3 linked regions of the Notamacropus eugenii genome follow. The protein of the gene in region 3 purifies or fractionates together with the protein of the main gene of each other region. This does not show direct contact. Links are inferred from orthologs where the notes say so. Each region holds a gene or a part of one and is shown on either strand. Other genes may lie near its edges.

Region 1 (6,946 bases), on a different chromosome or scaffold from region 3:
AAAGAATTGGCAGATGTTTCACATGGAAAAAGATGGGGGGGGGGGGGAGCTGAGTGGGCTCCCAGTTCCACAAGCCAGTGATTTGAAGAGGGGCTGCAGGAGAACTTAAGAAGCTAAAAGGAAAAACCTCAAGAAATACAAGAACACTGACCCTTAAGCACATGAGGGGATGCTGTCCTACAGCCAGAGCTGAGACCGGAGGTTCAAGGGGCTCCACAGAAGGGAGGTGGCTTCCTCTCCTGGCCACCCCCCCAACCCAGGACCCTAAGATAGGAAGGGTATCCCCCTCACCCTGCTGCGGCTGGAATAGAGGCTGGTCAAAGCAGAGCCAACAAGAGGAAAGGTAAGGAAATGCCAAAATATCAGCAGTCCCAAGCTGGAAGGGACTCCAAATGTCAAGATGAGGGATGTGACCCTGACTCAGAGAAAAAAACAGGGCCCCTAAAGGGACCATAAACCATCTACTGCTTCAGAGAGGTGGGGCTCCACCAGGGGGCGCTCAAGGGCAGCCAGGGGAAAGGAGGAATCCTGACTGCTAGAGGGAAGAAAAAGGGGAAGGGAGAAAAGAGGAAGATGAAAGTAGAAGGGAAAGGAAAAGAGGAGAAAGGAGGAGGGAGGAAAGAAAAGGAGAAAAGAAAAGATGGGGAGTAGAGAGGAAAAGAAAAGAGAAAGCAAGAGAAGAACAGAGGAGAGGAGGAAGGGAAGAAGGAAGGAGGGGGAGGGGAGGAAGAAGATGGGGGAGGGAAGGGGAGAAGGAGGGAAGGGGAAGGCTCACATTGAAGACCTCCTGCCTCAGCAGGGGCTGCTCCACACACGTCAGCAGCCTCAGCAGCAGGTCCATGATGGCCGATGTCCCGATGTGATGGAGTAACAAGGGAACGAAGTCAGCCTTTTTGCGCAGAAAGGCCACGATCTGAGAGGAGAAGAAACCAGTTGGCTAACCCCTTCCACCATCACAGCATAGGCCTTTTGCAGGGTGGGGCCCCTCCCCCTCCAAGGACTCTTCAATCAAGGCCATCGGCCCCCACCCTGGCAGCTTCTCCTCCAGAGATCCTTCCCACCTCCTCTAAGGCCCCCTAAGGGGCAGGCACTGAATCACTTGGGCACACCCTGGCTGTCTACTTCCTCCATGTCTCCCCAAACCAGAACAAGCAGGCACTTCTTTAATCAAGGTCTGAGTCAGAGGGAGCTCCCCAGGCCCCCAGAGACCTACCTGGTCCGTCTTTCGGTTGATCAAGATCCCCATGACCTTGCTAAAGAAACTGGCCAGCAGGGGGTTCAGGGGGGCTCTGTTCTGTAGGAAAGCATAGAGGCGGCCCAGAAGAGCCTCATCCTCCCCAAGAGCATCGTTGATCTGAGGGACATCCGAGGTCAGGATTTCGCAGGACACACTGGGGTACCTGGAGAAGAGGCAGCTGTCAGGCTCTGCCTAGAGAAAAACAAAAATCTACAGGTACCATCCCGCAACCTGGCCACCTCTCTGGACCTCCACTTCCCAATTTGTAAAACAAAAAAGCACTCCAGCTTAAATTCAATCAAAGGTTCTTATGCTGGGGGGGGGGGGGGGGGCGGTGCCAGAGGGAACAAATCCAGGAGACCAAAACAAGGAGAATAATTAGTGACACCCCCCCTTCCCTCACAGGGGTTCCTTGTACACAGCACTGCATGCTTCAGGATTACACCTGCAGAGAGAGGGCCTGGGGCAGGATGGCCCAGGCCGGGAACAGGATAACCAGCAGGAAAAATAACTGGGTGTGAGATGAGGGAGAGTGATCCAACAGCGTGGCCTGAGCAGCTGACACAAAACCAGCACTCGGACCTGGGCCCTGCCCTTGTCCTTCTACAGGACACAAGAACCAGAGGGAGATGAGGAGAGACGGCCTCACTTGTAGCGAAGCCGCTCGTCACCGGCAGCTGGGGGCTCCCGGGTGACCCAGTCCACGAGGGCCTGCAGATGGGCTGGCCGCAGCAGGAAGTCCAGCAGCTTGGGGTGCAGCACCTTACACTCCTGCAGCACATCCTCCTCATCCAGAAGCTCGGCCAGAGCCAGGTCATCCCTCTGCAGCAGCGAATCGATGTGCGAGCTGGTGTGCAGATCAAACTTCCAAAACATGGCGCCCTGCAGAGGGTGGTCAGAGAAGAGCCTGGAGCAGGTGGGGTGCAGGAGGGGAAGCCCAGGAAAATCCGGCTGCAAGCTGAGAAGGTAGCCCCCACATGGAGCCCAGCTCTCCCCGGGTGTTCTGAACAAGGGGCTCCCTCCGACTTACCCCCTAACACAGGGTCTCCTGGGGAGCAGCCTTCTAAAGGAGGCCAAGAGGGAGCTGGATGGCCACCCTTGAGAGCCATGGGCCCCAGTGGGGGGGGCTCGCAGGGCAAGAGCCACGAGAGCTCCGAGCGGAGGGAGGCCGTGCCAGGGCACAGGCCAGCAGGCCCCCCTGCCCCCAGCTGGGCAGCAGTGCCCGCTGCTCAGGTACTACGAGCAAGGCCCGAGAACGGTCCACGCTCGCAACGAGAAACGCCCTGGGTTCAAATCCCGATCCTGACCGAGCTGTCCGAGCCTCCAATCCTAGACCACCGACCCAACAGGGAGGCTTCGGGCAGGGGAAAGGGCCATCCCCCTGCCCCGAGGCCGGCGTGCTGCGCTGGCCCCAGGGGGGCTCGGCGGTCATCCCCGAGCTCCTCACCCCAGGGTGCCGGCCTGCGCGCTGGATGTGCCCCTCCCAGGAGCCCAGAAATGGAGCGGGGGTCCCCGGCTGTGCAGCCCAGGGACGCGGAGAGGGAAAGCAGGGAAAGGAGGGGCGTTTCCAATGGCAACCGGGGAGGAACAAGCCGAGGAGGCCGTGGGGGGGATTTCCCAGCATCCCCCAGGAGCCCTCCCGTCCAGGGTTCGGCCCGGGCAGGTTCCCCGGAGGGCGGGGCCGCAGTCACCTGGCACCCGGACACCCTGCCCCGCCCCCCAGCAGGGGGACACGCCCGGTCTGCGCCCGGGGGTCTCGAGCCCCGCCCCTTCCCCTCCTCCCCCGGGTTCGTTTCTCCTCCGCTCCCGCCCTCTCCCGGAAGACCCCTGCGGGGCCTCAGTCTCCCCCTCCGCGCAAGGGGCGGGGCAGGGTCACTGACCTGGGCGCGCGAGCAGCGGCAGCTCCGGCCTCGGGCACATCGGGGCGCGCGCCGTGGGGAGGGGGCGGGGCGGGGAAGTGGGCGCGCGCTCCCGGCCCGCGCAGGCGCCCTGAACCTCTGCGCGGTGGGGGGAGGAGGGGCCGCGCGGTAGGGGGGTAGCAAGACCCGCGGCGGTTTCTCCCCCCCCCCGCCCTCCCGCTCCTCTTTCTCCTCCCGCGGGTGCGGGACTTCAGGGCCGGGCCGGGGCTGCGGCTGCTGCTCTGCTCTCGCTCTTGCGTCCGCCTCGGCCGCCCCTGTGTCTGCGTCTGCAGCCTCTGCAGGGAAAGCTCGAGCGCAGAACTGAGAGACGGCAGCAAAATGGCTGGCGCGCAGGCGCGACAGAGAAGCCGCAGAGAGGGCGGGAAGGGGGCGGGAGCTGGTGCGCAGGCGCCCTGAAGCTAGGAGGGGGAGGGGAGCTCACGCAGCCGCTCTAGAAAAGCTCCGCGGGCCCGGGAACAGGCTCACGCGCAGGCGCAGGGGGAGGGGGAGAAATGGCTGCGGAGCTGCCGGAGCCCCGCGACACATAAAAGAGAGCCCAAGGGGGATGCCCCTCCCCTCCCTGGTCCTGCTTCGGCGGCCCTGGAAGGCCGCAGGCAGGCGGGCGGGTCGAATCTTTGTCCTCTTTCTTCGAGGCTTCGTGCCGTCTGTCCACTCACGGTCCCCGCAGCGTCCGTCTGCCCTCCGACCCGCCCGCCTGCCTGCCGCAGCAAGCCAGCCCTCTCCCCTCCACCCCGCAGTCTCCCACAATCCCCCGTGGCGAGGACCGGAGAGCTCAGCGCAATGCAGTGCAAGCCCACCCCTCGCAGCCCATGGCCTCCGTGCGCACGCGCGCCCAGCAGGCAGTCTACCCCCTCTCGGCCTGGCTTCACCAAAACACGCGACTGCGCTTGCGTGCAGGAAAGGCAGCCGCTGCCCCACCGCCTCGGGGGGCTTATAAAGCGGCACTCTCCTGCTGCGCAGGCGCTCTACGCCCCTGTCCTGCTCCCTCACTCCCGCCCCGCACCTCCACCCCCTCGGGAAGTGGTACGCATGCGTACGCGTTCGTCTCTCCGCCCCCGCCGGGGCTGTGTGTCAATTCCCCTCTACACCGCCCCCCCATCCACAATGCTGCCCCCCCCCTCCCCGCCCCCCCGCCCCCGCACACAGACGCGGCACTCGAGGGGGAGGAAGAAACAGCTTTATTGCCAGGGCAGAGCCAGGAGCGGGGCGGGCACGCACGGGAGGGGGCGGAGGGGAGGGAGAGCAGGGGGCTTCGCGGCGCCCCGGGCCCGGCGCCCAGGCTGCCTCCTCCCCGCCTCGGGTGGGCGGCAGGCTGCTGGAGAGGAGCCGCCGGCGGGGCGGGGCTCCATGCTGCGGGGCGCGGGCCCCTGGGTCCCTCCCCAGCCTTCACCGGTCCATGCTGTCATCCGTGGGGGAGGAGAAGCACGCCTGCAGCAGCTTTTCACAGAATTCCAGCTCCTCCTGGAAGGAAGCGGGAGGATCAGGGCTGAGCCCCCCACCCGGGAGCCGCTTCCCTAGGACCCCACCTCAGACCCGGGGGCCAGCCCCGGCCTCTTCCACCTACCCCCCTGCCCCCCATCCTGCTCTCGCCCAGGCTGACCTAGGGACACCCGCAAGACCACAAGGGCTGGTCCCTTCGGGGCCCCTTCGCTACCCCTGACCAGGGCCAGGCTGGGATGGGTAGGGAGAGGCCTCGGGACATTCTAGAACTCCCTCAGTCCAAAGGCTCATGCACATTATTAGCTGCCCCTGATCTGGGCTGTGCCAGGCTCTGGGGTTTTCCCCGGCCTCCCCTCTGCCCTTCCAGGGCCGTGCCTGGCCCCTCTGGTTCCTGGTACTCTCCTAGAGCTTGGGGTCTCTGCTCATCTGTCTCCACATCTCCACTTGAGGACAACTTCCCAACATCACAGAATGGGAGAGCTGGAAGGCTTTGTGAGGTGACAGGAGGACTCCTCATCAGGGCTGGGGGCCCCCCTACGGCTGAATGGCTGGCACTGAGCCCAGGGCTGGTGCAGTGAGGAATGATGCACACATGGGCCTCATGCCCCCAATGAGGAGAGAGCTCTTTTAGGGATAGGCTTCTGCCTCCCTAACCCTGGGCCTAAACCCCTGCCCACAGCCCCCTAGCCTGCTCCTAGGAGCCCAAGGAGAAGCAGCAGTCCCCACCCCTTACCTGGTACTCCTCATGCTGCTGCAGCAGCTGACACCGATGTCGAAGGAGTTCCTCCAGCCCCAATTCAGGCTCCCGGCATTCCCGGATCCCTTGGGGGAAATCTGTCACCAGCCTGTGGAGGGGGATGGCCAGGTCAGCACAGCCCCAGCTGGCCCCAAGATGCCAGCCTCCCACCCTGACCACCCCTAAGATTCCTCTCACCTGCAAAGTGCCCCCAGTACATGCTCGTGGAAGGGGCTGTGCTCTGTTCGGATCAGAGCCACCAGCTGCTGAACCATTCCCATGGAGCACAGGGTGCCTGAGGGTGGAGAGAAGACAGGGTCAAAGAGACATGTCCCCCTGCCTGCCCAGGAGTGTGAGGCAGGTCTTTCTAGAACCTAACCCACTGCTGACTAGCCTTTGAGGCCTACCCTCCCTCCATGATGGGCTCCAAACTGTCAGTCTGCCCCACCTCCCACAGCTTTCCCAGAAACACTAAAATCTGTTCTGCATTTTCCTGCTTTGGCTCCCACTCTCCCACTCTCTGCCTGCTGGTGCCCAGCTCCAAAGGTGCCTTCCCTGTGTCCCCCCATGCCTCCCCCTTTGCCGCCCCCCACCTTTGTGCTCAGGATGGCCCACCAGCAGGTTCTGCAGGAGGAAGGCCGACTTCACCTTCAGCTTCACCACATCCTTCTGCATGGCCCGCATCAGCACCGAAAAGCCATCTAGGCGAAGGAACTGGAGCAGGCCAGCTTCCTGCTCCCGGACCAGGCCTGGGGGCAGCAACAAAGGGTCAGGCCTTTGTTCTTCAGATACCAGGACAGCTCCCAGAGAAGGGGATTGCCATAATAAGCATTAATTATGAGAAGCATAGGGTAACCACCTACTATGTGCCAGGCACTGGGCCCTGCCCTGTAAGTGTTCACAATCTGAGGGCAAACAATCTAAGTAGGAAAAATGTGAAGAGAATGGGCACAGGACTGGGGGAAGCCAGCAAGGTCAGCGGTGGAAGTAGAGAAGGGAGAGGGAAGGCCCACAGCAGAGATAGGACTGGGAGGATGTGTGTGGGAGGAAGATGGAAGACCAGATAGCAGGGAGGGGGCCAAGCCAAGCAGGTCATATTTGGTCCTGCAGGAGGTTAATGAGTAGGGGCTGAGATAACATGGTCAGACCCAAGCTTTAAGAAAATCCTTTATGTGGCTGAATGGAGGATGAATGGGAGTGGGGAGAGACCAGAGACAGGCAGCCCCGCCCAGAGCAACAGCCCAGGGGTGAGGGGCTGCACCAAGGAGTGGTTGTCAGAGGAGAAAACAGGCATGTGGGGGAGATGTGGCAGAGGGGAAATTGACAGGCTTTGCCACCATACTGAATCTGGGAGGAGGGGGAGGGAGTGAGGAGTCCAGGATGACCCCCAGGTTGGGAGGATGGGGGTGCCCTCGATAGTCATAGGAAATGGGGGGAGGGGTTTACAGGGAAAGGTAATAAGTCCTGTTTTGGACATACAAACAGCTGTCACTTTTATGTAAATTCATGTTATCCAAATTTGACTTTATGTGAAGAATTCTGAAAAAAAAAAAATCTACATTCCCAAAAAACCCCTCTGTTTACTTTGCTGTACATGCTGTGTTTTCTGTCCAC
Region 2 (7,437 bases), on a different chromosome or scaffold from region 3:
GCTAAAGAAAGAGACATGATGGAGATTGCCAGCTCCTCTCATGTTGGCTTCTCCCCAGAGGTTTTTCCTCTTCATGGTCATGAAGAAAGTTTGGAATCCCATGCATCTTCTGTCTAGATGCTGGAAGCCAGAAGGAGCTGAAGAGATTCAAGAACCAAAAGAAAGTGGACAGCCTGGATCACTTACCAATTTCTATTCTCCACGCAGGGATGGGCATTGGATTCCATCAACGAGGAGAGAATCTCACACAATTAATTGGTCCTTTGATCCAGGGTTACACACACACACACACACACACACACACACACACACACACTCTTCTGTCTGTGTGTATATATATGTATGTATACATATATATACACACATGCATACACACACATATACATATGTATGCATATTGTCTTCCCTAATGGAATGCAAGCACTTTAAAGTGAGAGATTGTTTCTTTTTTGTTCTTGCAACCCCAGTACTCAACATTGTATCTGGAACTGTGTTTAGAATTCAGTAGGTATTTAATAAATATTTGTTGATTGATTTATTGATATATCTCTTTAGATATGGGTGAATGGCTTCTGTGGTGCCTTCTGATTTTTGAATTCTATAATCATCTAAACTTTGACTCTTCTCTAGCTCCAAATACAGGCCTTATATTTAGTGGGCTTTTTGGGAATATTGTTACATAGTTTCCTTGAATGTCAGAAAAGTTAAAAGACTTCATAATAATGAAATTTCCATTTTTATAGTACTTTAAGATTGAATCAATCAATCAATAAACAAGTACTTATTTAGTGCCTACTATGTACCAGGTACTGTGCTAGGTGCTGGGAACGCAAATATAATAAATGAAATGATCTCTATTCACGAGGAATATTTACAAAGAAAGCTCTTTCTTTGAAACAACTCTATGAAGAAGTATGTATTATCTTCACATTAAGTTGAAGAAGCTGATGCTGAGAGAGAAAGAGAGAGAGAGAGAGAGAGAGAGAGAGAAGGAGGGAAGGAGGGAGAGAGGGGGGGAAAAGGGGAGAGGGGAGTGAGGAGGGAGAGAGAGAAGGAGGGAGGGAGGAAGAGGATGATGAAGGGGGAGAAGGTAAGAGAGAGAGAGGTTGAGCATCTCGCCAGTGATCAAATGAGTCATTGCTAGGGCTAGACTTTGAACCTGTGTAGCCCAGGCCAGCACCATGCTACCTAAGATCACAAAACTAGAATCATTTTTTCCCCTGAGAAGTTCAGAGTCTGTTACAGACACCTTTATCTTTAGTAATCAGAGCATTTAAAGCTGGAAGTCTGAGGCTTTCATTTTAAAGGTGAGGCCCAGAATGAAGGAGATTTGCTCAAGGTTACAAATGTAGGAGGTAACAGGATATGAATTCAGATCTTCTGATTCCAAATCTAATGTGTGTGTTCCATGACATGACTTGCACTTGACTTTGTTTTTGAGTGAGGGAAGGCTGTGCAGGTCACCAGCTTCACTTCTCCTCCAGAGCCATCTGAATCCAGTGACTGCATATTCATCAGGATGACTGGAGATGACCCAGGATGAGACAACTGGGGTTAAATGACTTGCCCAAGTCACACAGTTAGTGAGTGTCAAGTGTCTGAGGTGAGATTTGACTTAGGTCCTCCTGACTCCTGCACTGGTGCTCTATCCACTGCACCACCTAGCTGCCCCTAGGTGGTGGCAGTTAGGTGGTACAGTGGATAGAATGCTGGGCCTGGAGTTAGGAAGACTCATCTTCCTGAGTTCAAATCTGGCTTCAGACACTTACTAAGCTGTGCCACACTGGATAAGTCACTTAACCCTGTTTGACTCAGTTTCCTCATCTGTAAGAGAAGAAAATGGCAAACCACTCCAGTATCTTTGCCAAGCAAACCTCAAGTGGGGTCATGAAGAGTCAGTAAATAGTGGGAAAATCTAATGACTGATCAAAAGATCCTAAAGGCCACAGTCCTTTGTGGTCCCTATCCACTTCAAAAGTGATTTTGGCAAAGTAGCAAAAAAGGATTCAAGGGGTGGTAAACATTATGCAATTTTTAGATGATCCACAAATTTTAATAATAGTGTTAATCCCTATTTCACAGGACTGTTTTAAAGAGCAAATGAGATAATAAATGCAAAGCTTTAAAAGCCTTAAATATAATTGTCAATTGGCATAGAAATGTCAACTATTATTATATTTCTCTTAAAAAAAAATCACAGAATCCTAGAACCATCTCTTCTGTCCAAGAGTAGTCCAGATCCTTCCGGTGAGGGTTAGCCATACACAGAGAATCCAGAGTACTCGGTCTGCGTACTTAGAGATTAAGGAGATTTTAGGGAGCATCTAGTACAATTGACTCATTTTAAAGAGGCAAAAACTGAGACGCAGAGAAGGGACGTTAACTGGCAGGCTGGGCAGAATGGGTAGAATGTCGGAACTGGGAGGGCACTTGAAGATAATATGGGGTAAACCCCTCATTTTAAAGATGAGAACAACGGAGGCCCAGAGAGAAGTGATTTGTCCACGGTCCCATAAAGAGCACGGGGCCAGAGACGGGGCTGAGATCCAGGTCTCATGTCTCCTAGGACTCTTTCTGTGAAACCACTTACTGGTTTGCCTGGATTGGGATCCCGGTCCTCAGTCAGTCCGTCTCCTCCCGTATCTTGGCTGTCGTCTTGCTTAGTGCAGCCGGGAAGGACACCCGGCGCGCCTATGTGCACCCCCAGGCCTATGACGCGGACAGGATTCCCCTCCCCAGGACCTGGAGATCAGCCGGTCAGCCCACAAGTTCCTACTATGTGCCAGGCATTTGCTAAGCGCTGGAGATACAAAGAAAGACAAAAAATAACCCCTGCTCTCTAGAAGCTCAGTCTAGCGGGGAGACAACCTGCAAACAACTGCGTACAGACAAGATACAGACAGGATAAACTGCATGTCATCTCTAAGCGAAAGCACTAGCAATAAAGGGGAGCAGGAAAGGCTTCTTGCAGAAGGTGGAATCTGTGCTGAGACTTGAAGGAAGCCAGGGAAAGCAGGAGGTGGAGGTGAGGAGGGGGAGCATTCCCGACCAGGAGAACCGCTACCGAAAATGTTCTGAATCGGGAGATGGAGTGTCTGGTGGGAGGAACAGAAAGGAAGCCGTGGTAACTGGATCGTGGAAAATAACGCGGAGGAAGCCTGGAAAAGTAGGAAGGGGCCAGGGTATGAACTCGGCTGTGAGTTGGGGGGCTCGAGGAAAAGGGGGGCGAGGGACAGAGAATCACGCAGGGCGGGGAGGGGCAAGGGGGAGGGCTCCATGGCTTGGCTGTCCAGAGAAGGTTCTCCCACGTCACAATTCAGCATCGATCCCCTGCACGAGACAAGGCGGCCTTTGCCTGCTGCATGTAGGTGTATGTGCAATTCTCTCAGCGCGTTTATGTGCATAAACCAGAGGTATAAGAAGCGCTGCTAGATGTGGGAAACTACAAATCCCAGGCGGCTTAGCGAGTCCTGGTATGTTTCCAGAGACGCACAGGTCTCTGTCGTGTAACTCCCGCGACTCTCCGTCTTGAGCCATTCAGAAGTAGGGCTGTAGGGGCTGGCAGAAAGAAGAAGCGGAAGGGCAAACTTTCACGCCTTGACGCAGAGACGCTGCGCGTCTACAGGAAGTGACGTTGAACAGAGTTCCGGCTTCGGCCTTCTCCGCCGCCGCCGCCACTGCGGGTTGTTATTCCTAAAATGGCGCCCCTGGACTTGGACAAGTATGTGGAGATCGCGCGGCTCTGCAAGTATCTGCCGGAGAACGACCTGAAGGTAAGGGCCGGGCTTCTGGGCCGTGCCGGTGGGGCCGCGGGGCGCTGACTCCGGAGTCCCCCGCCTTCCGGGAGTGGTGCAGCTGAGAGTCCTCCCGCCCTTCTTCCCTCCTTCTTTCCGTCCCGGCCCCCGCCCCTGTCAGCTCCGGGAGCCCCGGGGAGCGGGGGCGCCGGCAGCGCCACCTCCCTGCCTCCCGGCGGCTTCTGTGCCTCTTCCCTTCCCTCCACCCCTTCCCCACCAGGCTCTGGAGCCGAGCTGCAGAGAAGGGGGGAGTAGCCACAGAAAGTCAGAGCTAGAGGGGCCCTGAGACATCGTCTGGTCCAGCTTCTCCGTTATTTTAACAGATGGGGAAACGGAGGTGCAGAGAGGGGTGGGCACACCCGAAGTCAGCGGCAGAGCTTGGCACGGGGTGAGGGTGGGGACGGGGGCAAGGGGGCGTAGGCAGTGGCCTGAGGTCGGATCTTGAAGCTCGCTCGCCTGGCGGTTCCCAGCTGAGACCTGGGGGTGCCTCTCTCGGTGTGGTCCCCCATCGGCGATGTGGCAGGGGACGTGCCTGCTCCAGAAGGGGTTCTGCGGGGTGATTCTTGGAGCCCCTTCCAGTTCTGAGATGCTCTGATTCTGTCATTTAAGGGGAAAGTTACAGTTGAAGTGTTTGAAGGGTTGTCATGTGCGAGAGGTATCGAGCTTGCTCCGCTTGGCCCCCGAGAGCAGACTTAGGAGCAGTAGATGGAAGTTGCAGCGATTGCGCCTCGATGTAAGGAAAAACTTCCTGCCAGACCACAGCTGACCAAAAGTGGAATGGGCCACCTCAGACCTCCCCTTCTCTGGAGGTCTTCCAATAGAGACTTGTTGGCCCAACTTCTTGGGGAAGCTGTAGAAGGTATTGCTGCTCAGGTATGAGTGGGTTCAGATAACTTCTGAAGATCTTCTAGTTTTTAGAGACTGGGGTTTTGATAGCTGTTTGTACTGAAGGTTCCGTCCCCTGTCCCCTGGAGAAGAGGGATTAGACTTGTTCTACCTGACTCCACGGACCAGAAGTAGGAACAAGTGGGTACAGGTTTTCAAAGTGGCGTATTTTTCAGATTTCCTGAAAATTAGAAAAGGGGGCAGAGACGTGGGGGTTCGGGCCGAGAAGATCGGGGGTTTAAGTCTTAAAAGAGTCTTTGACATGCACAGTGCTTGTGGCCTTGGGTAAGTCACTTAACATCTTAGGGCTCAGGCGGCTGTTTAAGACAGTGAATTGCAGAGAAGGTGCCAACTTAAATTGGTAGAGGGAGTTTCCTCTTCTGGGATTTCTGTACACCAAGTCAAAGGTTCAACCCCTGTTCCCTCTTCCCTAAAAAAATAGAACAGGTTTATAATGGAGTCTGCTCCCTGAATAAGTTGCGAGTGTCCAGGTGCTGGATTTTGTCAAGCAAACGGTAATAAAGCTCATTTATTCAGGAGGATTTAGAGGGAATTTATGTTTAGTTACAGTATAACTAGGTGATTTTTGAGGTCCTTTCTGACCAAGAGTTTTTGTGATTCTACTGTTGTTGCTCTCTCCTTAAAGGGGGAATAGCCATTTTCTGATCCTTGAAGATTCGGGACTGTTAAGATCAAGCGTTTATCTCTCTGCTTCAGATTGTAGCAACTTGCTTTGTTTTGATTGAGTGGCTAATGATAGCCCCATTTTAGACTTAACGATACTTGCAGGGAAAAAAAGTTTTCTACTTTGTTGCAGAGTTTGAGTGTACAATATTTAGGTTATTGTTAAAATATGATAGCAGATAGACATTGTAATTTAATTCAGGAAAGTGAAATAAACCATATTTCCTTATTTCTCTCCCATGCCTCAAATTGACGTTGCCTATAAGACATAACAGGACAAACTTACTTGCTTGTTATACTTGTGTAAAGGTGTGGTAAAATAAGCTCTTTTGTTAGAATGTAAGATCCTTGACGGTACAGATTGTTTCATTTTTTATATTTGTATCTCCAGTGTCTGAGTTCCTAGTATAGTTCCTGGTACATAGTAGGTGCTTATTAGATGTTTATTGATTGACTGGTGCCTCTTTTAGCTGTTTTTAAAGTTTAATCTTCTCCCCTCCCCCAAGTTGTTCCTGATATACTGCCATGTTTTAGTAATTTGAGAATGAAGGAATTTAAATCTCTGGAATATTGGAGGTTTTTTTCTAAGTGGTTTCTATGTGTAGTGCTTAGTTTTTGTGCTTACAGGTGGGGACTAGTGCCAGAGTATTGGTTTACTTAGTAAACTTTGATCAGCTGTTTGCTAACTGGTTAACCTGTAGACAGATTTCTTTCCCTTTTTGAGAGATTAAAGGAATTTATCAAGGTAAAATGTATAAATTCTGTTCTTATAAGAAAGAGGAGTCTTGCTTCTTTTGCTTTGTAAGTCTGCTCAGTTCGTGAAATTTACACTTAAGTGCAACAATTAGTATAAGCTATTATATTTTGTTTGGAAGAAATTTATGGGCAACTTATTTTTAAACAAGATGTCTAGAAACAAATGAGAAGTCAAAAGATTGTTTCAGTAATCACAGTTGTGCACATTTGCATAGGTAGTACTTTGCAACTTATGAAACATTTTCCTCATAACACTCTTATGAAGCCGATTATATAAATACTATCCTAGTGTGCACCAGAAAAGTGAAGTGATTTGTCTGTAGACATGTAACTAGTGATAGAGTTGTGATGGCAACTGAGGCCTTCTGACTTCCATTTCTAGTGTTATTACTTTTCTAATTTCTCTGTTTCTTCATCTCAGTGTCTTAAGATTTTATCCTTGATTCTTGTCTCTTGGCAATCTCATTTCCACACCTTCACCCATTACTGTAATACAGATGACACCCAAATCTTGTTCCACTCCTGGCTTCTCCTGAGTTCTGGATATACATGAGTCCTTCTACATGAGTCTATACAGGACCTTTCACTGGCACTTCAAACTCAATAAACCCCAAATTGATTTCTTATTTTTTCCCCAGTACAGTGGAAAAAGCATTGATTTAAAGTTAGAGGACTTGGATCTGAGTCTAACTTCTGCTGTATATCAGCTATGAGACCTTGTTTATACTTCCTTACTCTCTGGGCTTGGAGTTCAAAGATCTGAATTCAGATCAGCTTCAGAGGTCCTTAATAGTTTTGTGACCTTGACAAATCACTTAACCTCTGCCTGCCTGAATTCCCTCATCTGTACAATGGGATGATAATAGAACCTACCTTACAGGGTAATGGGGATCAAATGAGAAATTATAAAGCACTTAGTATAGTGCCTGATACATGGTAGGAGCTTAATAAATGTTCCCTCCTTTCTTCCCCTCCCTTATGCACTTAGGTTAATTATTGGTTGTTTTGTATTATAGTTGTAGTTGTATATATGTAATAGAGACAGCTAGGCGGTGCAGTGGTTAGAGTATTTGACCTGTAGTTAGTGTAGTTGCACACTTTGTGTGCAAATCTAGCCCCAGACACTTACTTTGTGAACCCAGGCAAGTCATTTTCTGTCTCAGATTCATCATCTATAAAATAAGGATAATAATAGCACCAACCAAGGGTTGTTGTAAAAGTAAAATGAGATAACAATTGTAAAGTGCTTCACAAACTTTAAATTGATAAAGAATTATTATTTATCATTGTATCTGTTATCATGTTCTATCCTTCTCTT
Region 3 (7,496 bases):
CTGGCCTCCCAAACCTCCCCAGTGCCCATAGATCCACCAAACCTAAGCTTCCTTATGCTGACCTTATCTTCCCACATAACCTCTTCTACAGTTCTTAAATCCCTAACCTTAGTCTCCCAACCCCCTGACCTCAGCCCCTAGCCGTAGCAGGTGCTTGACCACATCAATCTGGCCATTGGCAGCAGCTGTGTGGAGCAGTCCATAGCCCTTCCGGTCCTTGCAACTAGGATCTGCACCCCGGGCCACCAACAGCTTCAGGACCTCCAAATGCCCTAAAGCAGGGGAGGGGAATGAGATAAGGCAAAGCTAAAGGGAATGGAGAATAAACTCTACTTCAGGTCCTTTACCCCAGAATTCTCAAACTCTAAATTATGCCTATGTAGGCCAAACATTTTCTTTGCTCCAAGATTCTTCCTCACCTAAAAAGGCTGCCCAGTGTAGTGGCTGCCGCTCCTTTTTGTCACAGACGTTAAGGCTGGCCCCCTTGTTCAGAAGCAGGTTCACCATCTGTGTGAGAACAGGGGACATTTCCATTTAGAGCCTGGCATAAGTCCCTTTCCACCCTTCCCTATCCCCAGCCATCTTATACTAAAGCTTCTCCACTTTCTCAGGAAACTGAGGAGAAAACTGATATATTGCTGAAAGGACCATGGACAGGGACTAATGAGAAAGCAGAGACTAGGAAAGGGAAAGGACCAGGGGATGGGCATGGAAAACCAAGCCCCATAACCACAGTGTCTGGATGCCCCAGACAAGTTATAAGCAGGCAGTGAGGGAGTGGAATCCATACCTCCAGGTGCCCACTGTGCACGGCATGGTGCAAGGCACTGCGCCCGCTTCGATCGGCCACATTAAGGCTGCTCAGCAGCGGGGCCAGGGCTTCAGCACATTTGGTGGCCCGGTTGGCAGCAGCCACATGCAGTGGTGTCTGCCATAGCTTGTCCCGGGCATTCACATCTGCGGAATGTGCTAGGAGCAGCCCCAGTACTTTCTGTTAGTGGCAATTTATCAGGACAAGAAGAACAAAGAACAGGAGGTGAGGGGATGATTTGGCATGGGTGCCTTAACTCTAGAAATGAGAACAGCCTCAACATCCAGTAAATACAGAATCCCTTCTTCCCCACAATCTTACTCCCGGTTTCCCTAAGAAAACATACAAACCACCTTAACACCAACTGACAGTCATCTGAATAGAACCTCTATCTTTCCAGGGTAAACACAGACCCGTCCTCAAGCCAAATTAACTTCATTCTCCCAGTCTTAGTAATCTTAGTACCCCTTACATCCTTTCCCCAAGCAAAAGTAAACATCCTAAAGACTCCTTGATCCTCCCTACCCCCATGGGAATTCCAGGAAAAATAAAGCCTCCCACCTTCATGTACACACCCACCTTCAACCCTTCCACAACCACGGAAATCAATCTCAATAACAAGCTAAGAAAACAGATGACCTCCATCCCCATTCCCTGGTCAAAACCTAGCCAGCCCCCTACCCCTTAATATATCAGCCTCAGTAACTCCTTCTGAGCACTGTGCTGTGACCTCTAGGATGATGGCTCAAGCCAGGAGAGTACCAGGGTAGCCCTGGGAGGGGCCCTCTCCTGCTCTTCCCAGGGCTCAAAAGGGGAGCAGGCTCTAAGGTGGCCCCTCAGGGAGAGATGAGTCATTTAGGCCTGGCATTGGAGCCCCCTGCAGCCTGCCAGCAGAGTGCTAAGCTGCCCCTGACGTCAAATCAGCTGGCAGAGCTCAGCCCCCCATAAACAGCCTGCCCAGAGGTCAGGAGGGAGGAGCCAAGATCTGACTTTCCTCTCCAGATGGTACAGGAGATGAGACTCTAGAGGAGGATGACAGAGGAATAAGACTTCACCATCCACCTCATTAGAAGGCAGAAGGGCCCAGCTGAGCCTACCTCATTCCTAGAGGCAGCAGCGCGATGTAGGGGGGTCAGCCACAGTGTGTCCTTAGCATTGACATTAGCACCTGGGGACAAGTAAAGAAGGCATGTGGGGAGGCTGGGCTTGGGGACCAGGAGGAGGCATCAGAGAGCCCCACCTCGCCGCGCCCTGGCCTCCTCTCTTACCTGACAGCAGTAGCAGTTGGAGGATGGGGACATCTCCTACATAGGCAGCAGCATGCAGAGGGGTTCTTCTCTCTTGGTCCTATTGAAGGGAAGGGCCGCGCTGGGTCGCGCCGACCTGACACCCCGGTGCCCAGCCCTCCATCCCGCAGGCGGGCACAGGGGGAAGGTCGGACCCCCGCTCCGGCCCCCCCTTCTCCCTGCTGGGCGCCTCCCCCCGGGGCGGGGGCGGGGTGGGGGCCCGGCGGCCCCCCGCTCACCAGCACGTTGATGTTCTCCTTCTGCGAGAGGAGGGAGCGCACTTCCTCCACATCCCGGCTAAAGATGGCCTGGACCAGGGGCGGCTGCGGGGAGAGAGCGGCGGGCGGGCGGCTCAGGGGCGGGCCGGGAAGCGCCGCGAGGGGCCCGCCGGGTGCCCTGTCACCGCCGCAAGGGCGGCGGGCGCGGAGGCGGGGCCGGCCGGCCCTGCGGGCGGGCTGGGTGTGCGCGATGCGGGGCGGCGCGGGGCGGGGCGGACCGGAACCGGCCCGGGGGGCCGGGGGGCCGGGGCGCGGGGGCCCGGGGCCGCGGGAGGCCGGGGCGCGGGCTAGGCCTAGGCCGCACATCCCCGAGCTCGCGTGGCGGCAGCGCCCGGCGGGCGGCGGGCGGCGCCGTCACTAACCTGGTCCGTGATGCTGAGGATCCCCATGGCCCGGCCCAGGCTCCGTCCGCATCGAGCTCCCGGCGGCAGCGGCGGTGGCTCCACCGGGGACACGGGGCAGCGGCGGCGGCGGCGGCAGCAGCAGCGACGGTAGCGGCTGCTGGGAGAGCGGGGCCCCGCCTACCGGGAGGCGGGCGAGCGGGAGCCGGCAGCACCCCCTGGCGGCCACACCGGGCCCCGCAGCTCCGGCCCCCCGGACCTCCCGCCAGGGCCTGCCGGCCCCACCGCCGTCCCGTAGCACCGGTGGCGATCCGACCTGGCGGCGCTCCGCCCCCTGGCGGCCAAGTCTGGCTCCACAGCGCGCCGCAACCTACCCTGCAGCACCCCCCGGTGGCCGGATCTAGCTCCAGCTCCGACTGTCAAACCCAAGCGCGCAGCTCCCCCTGCTGGCCAAAGCCTGACCCGCAGCGCTCCCCAGATCTGAAAAGGGATGGAGAAGTGTGGGGAGCTCTGGAAATTCAGCCTTCTAGGGTTTAACCCTGCACAAGTGTAGTAGTCACGTGGCGCAGCATAATTCCCGAACTGGAAGGGAACCCAGAAGCCGTGTGGTCCAGTCTCTTCATGTCACAGAGGGCCTGAGGTCAGTTTGAGCCTGGATCTCCCTTGCAGCCCTCCAGCCCATTCTGCAGAAGGGAGAACCGAGGCCCACGCTCACACTGCTGGGAACAGAGCTGGCCTTCCAGCTCCAGCCTCCGGCCCCGCGTTAATGCTTTTCCACCGAACCGCGTCCCCCAGGAGGCAAGCTGAGAAGAGCGCTTTACGAGAGTGTAGTCTGGCCAGAGTCAGGACGCGCCCCCTTCGGAGAAGTACAAACACCCCCAGCCGCTGGGCCACACGTGTTCTGCTTACTGCCTGGGTCTCTGCGCAGAGGACAGAACTCCGCCCCATTGCATTTACTTCTGAAATGGGTTACAGCCGATGGACCAAGACACGTCCTCGCCCGCAGGACTCCGCAGCTGAGCTGTGTAGGGGCTGGCCGAGAGGGCAGAGTACAAGAAAGCAGCCATCCTCTCCAAGGCCTTCGCCTACAAGGGCCAGGGTCTCCAGGGTCTCCACCGCCCCCTGGGCCATCTCCAGCCGTCCTGATGAATGTCAGGCCACCGGACCCAGATGGATCAGGAGAAGAAGGTGAGGCTGGTGACCTCGCACAGCCCTCCCTCCCTCCCATTAAAGTCAACTGAAAGTCATGTCATCATCTTCCTGATGTCATGGTCCTTTTTAAGAGCAAAGGACAAACACAATTCCACCAACATATAGGAAAGGTACCAGACTGAATCCTGATGGGGAAATTCAAGAAAAAAAATCACTGAGTAATTTTTCCAGCCAAGGTTGGTAAAGGAGAACAGAAATACCTTTTGAAACTGGGAATAGGGTCATAGTGCAGAGCTGAATGCAGGGATTGAATAAGGGCTAGTGACTGTCCACTAGGGCGAGAAGACCTCCTGGATCTATCGCAGAGAGGTCTGATACTGTCCAAAGAGCAAGGACACATGCCAACTGGAAGGTCTGTCCCTCATATTCCAGAGCTGGGTCATAGATCCAGTGCACCTAAGTCTCAGGTCCAGGACCAGCAGTTGCGAGCTGAGGTCCTGTAGTAGAGAAGGAGCAGGAACAGAAGCAAACAGCAGCTATGTGGTTCTGACCCTGGCAGTACAATAGGATCTCAGATTCTACCTCCAGACCAGTCTGAAGATAAAGGAGAGCCTGCAATTCTATCACTCTGAATATGCATTTTTTTTTTTTGATTGCCTATAGTAGTTGAGTTCTGCAGCTTTCTACAGGAGCTCCAACCAGGGCCAAGTACACAGTTGTGTTGCTCTGACCCTAATTCAGATTAGGAGGTTGCACAACTCAGAGAACAAAGAAACCAATTAGGCTTTGCCCTGTATGAAGGCCTTAACACAGTCTAAAATTCAGAATTAAGGCTAGATTTCAGGAAGAATGAGCAAAGAAAAATAGATTCTTACCACAAAGAGCTTTTATGGTGATAGGAGCACCTAAGACACAAACTGAGAAGAGAATGGCCCCAAAACATCTACATGTATAACCTAAAGTAAAACACAACTTGGGCACAAGTTCAACTAGAATTCCTACAAGAAATGAGGCAAGGGGGTTGTTTTTTCATGTGTATCTTTTTAAGACTCACAAGATTATTTTATAAATGGAAGTGTTAGAGGAAAGAATTGGAAAAGAAATGAGAGCTATGGAAGAACATCTTAGAAAGAGAATTAACAACTTGATACAAGAGATACAAAACTTACCTAAGCCACAAAGTACCTGAAAATTAGAATGGGCCACACAGAAGTTAATGACTCCATGAGAGAACAAATATACTACAGGGCTGGGTCCTAGTTGTTGGGGAAAATGTTTTGCATTTCTGTTCTTCCTATGTCTTCTTACTAAGTATTCCTTTGTAAAAGTTAATTGTTGTTAATTTATTAAATGATATCAAGGATACACTGGAACATGGCTCAAGCCCCTAGTATTATTAGGAAGATACCTACTTCCTCTTCAGAGGTACCTTTAAAACCCTGAGGGAAATATATACCTGGCAAGTGCTCTGAGGACCAAACTCTTCAGTGAAGGTAGGAGTTGCACTAACCCTCCCCCCCCCCCCAAGGTATACAAAGGCCATATATACTACGGGACCTTTATATTGTATTCATTTGTGTATCTTTTTGATATGTGTACATCCTAACTCTTTGATTAGGTTATAATCATCTTATGAACAGGAATCTTCTCAGTTTGACATCCAAGATGCTCAGCACCACAAGGATGTTTTGTATGAACTGTAAATTGTTTTGTATAGCACCTACCATATAAACATGTGTAAACAAACTGATGACATGCTTATGATGATATGGAAAACAGCATGGTGTGGTAAAAAGTACCTTGAACTCTAGTGGATTCAAGAGACACAATCTCATCTCCATAAATTCCTCGCTATGTTATCCTGAGCACATGACTTGGAATCTCTGAGATATTTGATTTGCAACATGAGATATTTTGACTAGATAATCTCTAAGATACTTTTCAGTTCTTAACAATTTATCTAGTGATATGTAATGAAGAGTTTGAGACAAGAAGAGGAGTGTATGGAGTAGGGTTAGGGGAGAAAGGACAATTTCCAGAGGAGAGTTATATCACTAGAGGACTGGCCCAAAGATATGGCCCAAAATAGCCCCTGGGAAATATGAGGAACACTAGTCAGAGGATGAACACAGGTCACATGTTTGGGTCTGGGATGGGGTGAAGGTGAATAGAAGGCACTTACTGGGTTCCATGGGCAGCTGGATGAAGAGAAGGAGTTATTTTTATCATCAAACAGCACAGGAAGGAGATTCCCCAGTGAAAGAAAAAGGAACATAAAATAGTAAAGACTGCTTTTTTTTTTTCCTGAGCCCAATAAAAAGAACCTAGGGAGGGAGGGCTAGTATATGGGAGTCAGAACACTCAAGTTTGAAACTTTAGGCTCAGAGAAGCTAGAAAAGATTTGTTTCTAGAGACTGGGTTCTATGTCAAAGTTAGAGAAATAGATCTCAAGTGTTTTGCTTTTTCTGTGCCTTGGTTTTCATTTAGTTTTTCATTTTTTGATTTAATAAATGTTTTTGAGATTCTCCTGTGTGCAGAGCACTTCATTTGTTGTGGGGGAAAGATGCAAAAGAAATCAGTTCTATAATTTATAATCTTTTTGAGGAGATAAACACATAAGCAATAGAGAATTCCTTCAAAGTGAAACATAAAATTCAGTTAAAATAACATAAACCTTAAAAGAAAGCATTGAATGATGATATAAGACTGAGGAAATCAAATTGGAGTAAAATTAATCAGAGAATGCTTCTTGGAGAAGAGGAGTTTTGAATCAAGACGAAGTGGTAAAAGTGAATTAGTAGAGAAAGGACAGGAAGTTTAGGAGTGAAAGCACAAGAGGCAATAATTAGCAAATATCATTTTTTGGGAGGATAGTAAGTTAAATTGACCTGGCAGATCTACGGGGAGGTAGGATCTAAGGAAATCTGTGGTAGTTACATCAGAGTACAACGCAAATGAGGATATGGGTTCAATCCCATATCCCAGTTAATTTTGTTCTGTTTCATGACTAGAGATTGTGCCCCAACCCCTTTATGCCTGATCAGGAGGGGCAGGAACCTAGCCAGACAAGAGGGCATGGACTGTGGGCCTTCAATGCAGCAAGTCAATCCTTTTACATATCCCCAATTGATTCACTATCTCATGAATCACAGCAGTTTTTTCAAACCTTTTCATCCCTCCTTGAACCTTCTATAGCTCCTCCTCTCCAACGCTCTCAACTGAAAACCTTTGCTTATATTTTGGAAAAAAAAATGAAGTCCATTCACTAAAAGCTACTTCTTCTCCCCCCATCTCCACCTGCCTTCTGTCTCTGTAACTTTCTTTCCTTTCACTCTCTTTTCAGTTCTTTAGAGTCTGGCTTCTGACCTCACCATTCAATGGAAACAGTTTTCTCCAAAGTTATTGATGATCTCTTAATTGTGAAATCTAATGGTCTCTCAATTCTCCTACTTCTTGACCTTTGACACTGTCAGTCACCTTCCTTGATACTCTTTTCACTAGGTTGACTTTTCTCTAGTCAACAACATGACTTTTCTCTCTCCTAGTTCTATTTATACTTGTCTAATCACTCCTTCTCTGTCTCCTCGATCTTCATCCAGGTCATTTCCATGAAAGGGGCCATCTCCAG

The links.
Region 1: the proteins of ANKRD52 (region 3) and PPP6R1 purify together in Homo sapiens (co-immunoprecipitation; 3 studies listed by BioGRID and IntAct, with this or other methods). This does not show direct contact. The link is inferred for Notamacropus eugenii from reciprocal best matches to the Homo sapiens genes ANKRD52 and PPP6R1.
Region 2: the proteins of ANKRD52 (region 3) and PPP6C purify together in Homo sapiens (affinity purification with mass spectrometry; 6 studies listed by BioGRID and IntAct, with this or other methods). This does not show direct contact. The link is inferred for Notamacropus eugenii from reciprocal best matches to the Homo sapiens genes ANKRD52 and PPP6C.

What each region holds. Positions count from the first base shown.
Region 1 is NC_092876.1:17,896,453-17,903,398, forward strand, and holds the start of PPP6R1 (serine/threonine-protein phosphatase 6 regulatory subunit 1), read right to left. Parts: upstream 3,004-6,946; 5' UTR 2,862-3,003; coding exon 2,685-2,861; intron 2,665-2,684; exon of another isoform or gene 2,268-2,664; intron 2,254-2,267; exon of another isoform or gene 2,120-2,253; coding exon 1,887-2,119; intron 1,401-1,886; coding exon 1,214-1,400; intron 914-1,213; coding exon 776-913; intron 1-775. Other genes in the region: HSPBP1 (hsp70-binding protein 1), read right to left, coding at 4,543-4,617, 5,330-5,441, 5,531-5,627, 5,926-6,081. UniProt on the Homo sapiens protein: Regulatory subunit of protein phosphatase 6 (PP6). May function as a scaffolding PP6 subunit. Involved in the PP6-mediated dephosphorylation of NFKBIE opposing its degradation in response to TNF-alpha.
Region 2 is NC_092872.1:447,465,667-447,473,103, reverse strand, and holds the start of PPP6C (serine/threonine-protein phosphatase 6 catalytic subunit), read left to right. Parts: upstream 1-4,434; 5' UTR 4,435-4,499; coding exon 4,500-4,667; intron 4,668-7,437.
Region 3 is NC_092874.1:231,520,034-231,527,529, forward strand, and holds the start of ANKRD52 (serine/threonine-protein phosphatase 6 regulatory ankyrin repeat subunit C), read right to left. Parts: upstream 3,014-7,496; 5' UTR 2,765-3,013; coding exon 2,738-2,764; intron 2,421-2,737; coding exon 2,337-2,420; intron 2,159-2,336; coding exon 2,080-2,158; intron 1,980-2,079; coding exon 1,909-1,979; intron 992-1,908; coding exon 791-991; intron 508-790; coding exon 420-507; intron 273-419; coding exon 130-272; intron 1-129. UniProt on the Homo sapiens protein: Putative regulatory subunit of protein phosphatase 6 (PP6) that may be involved in the recognition of phosphoprotein substrates.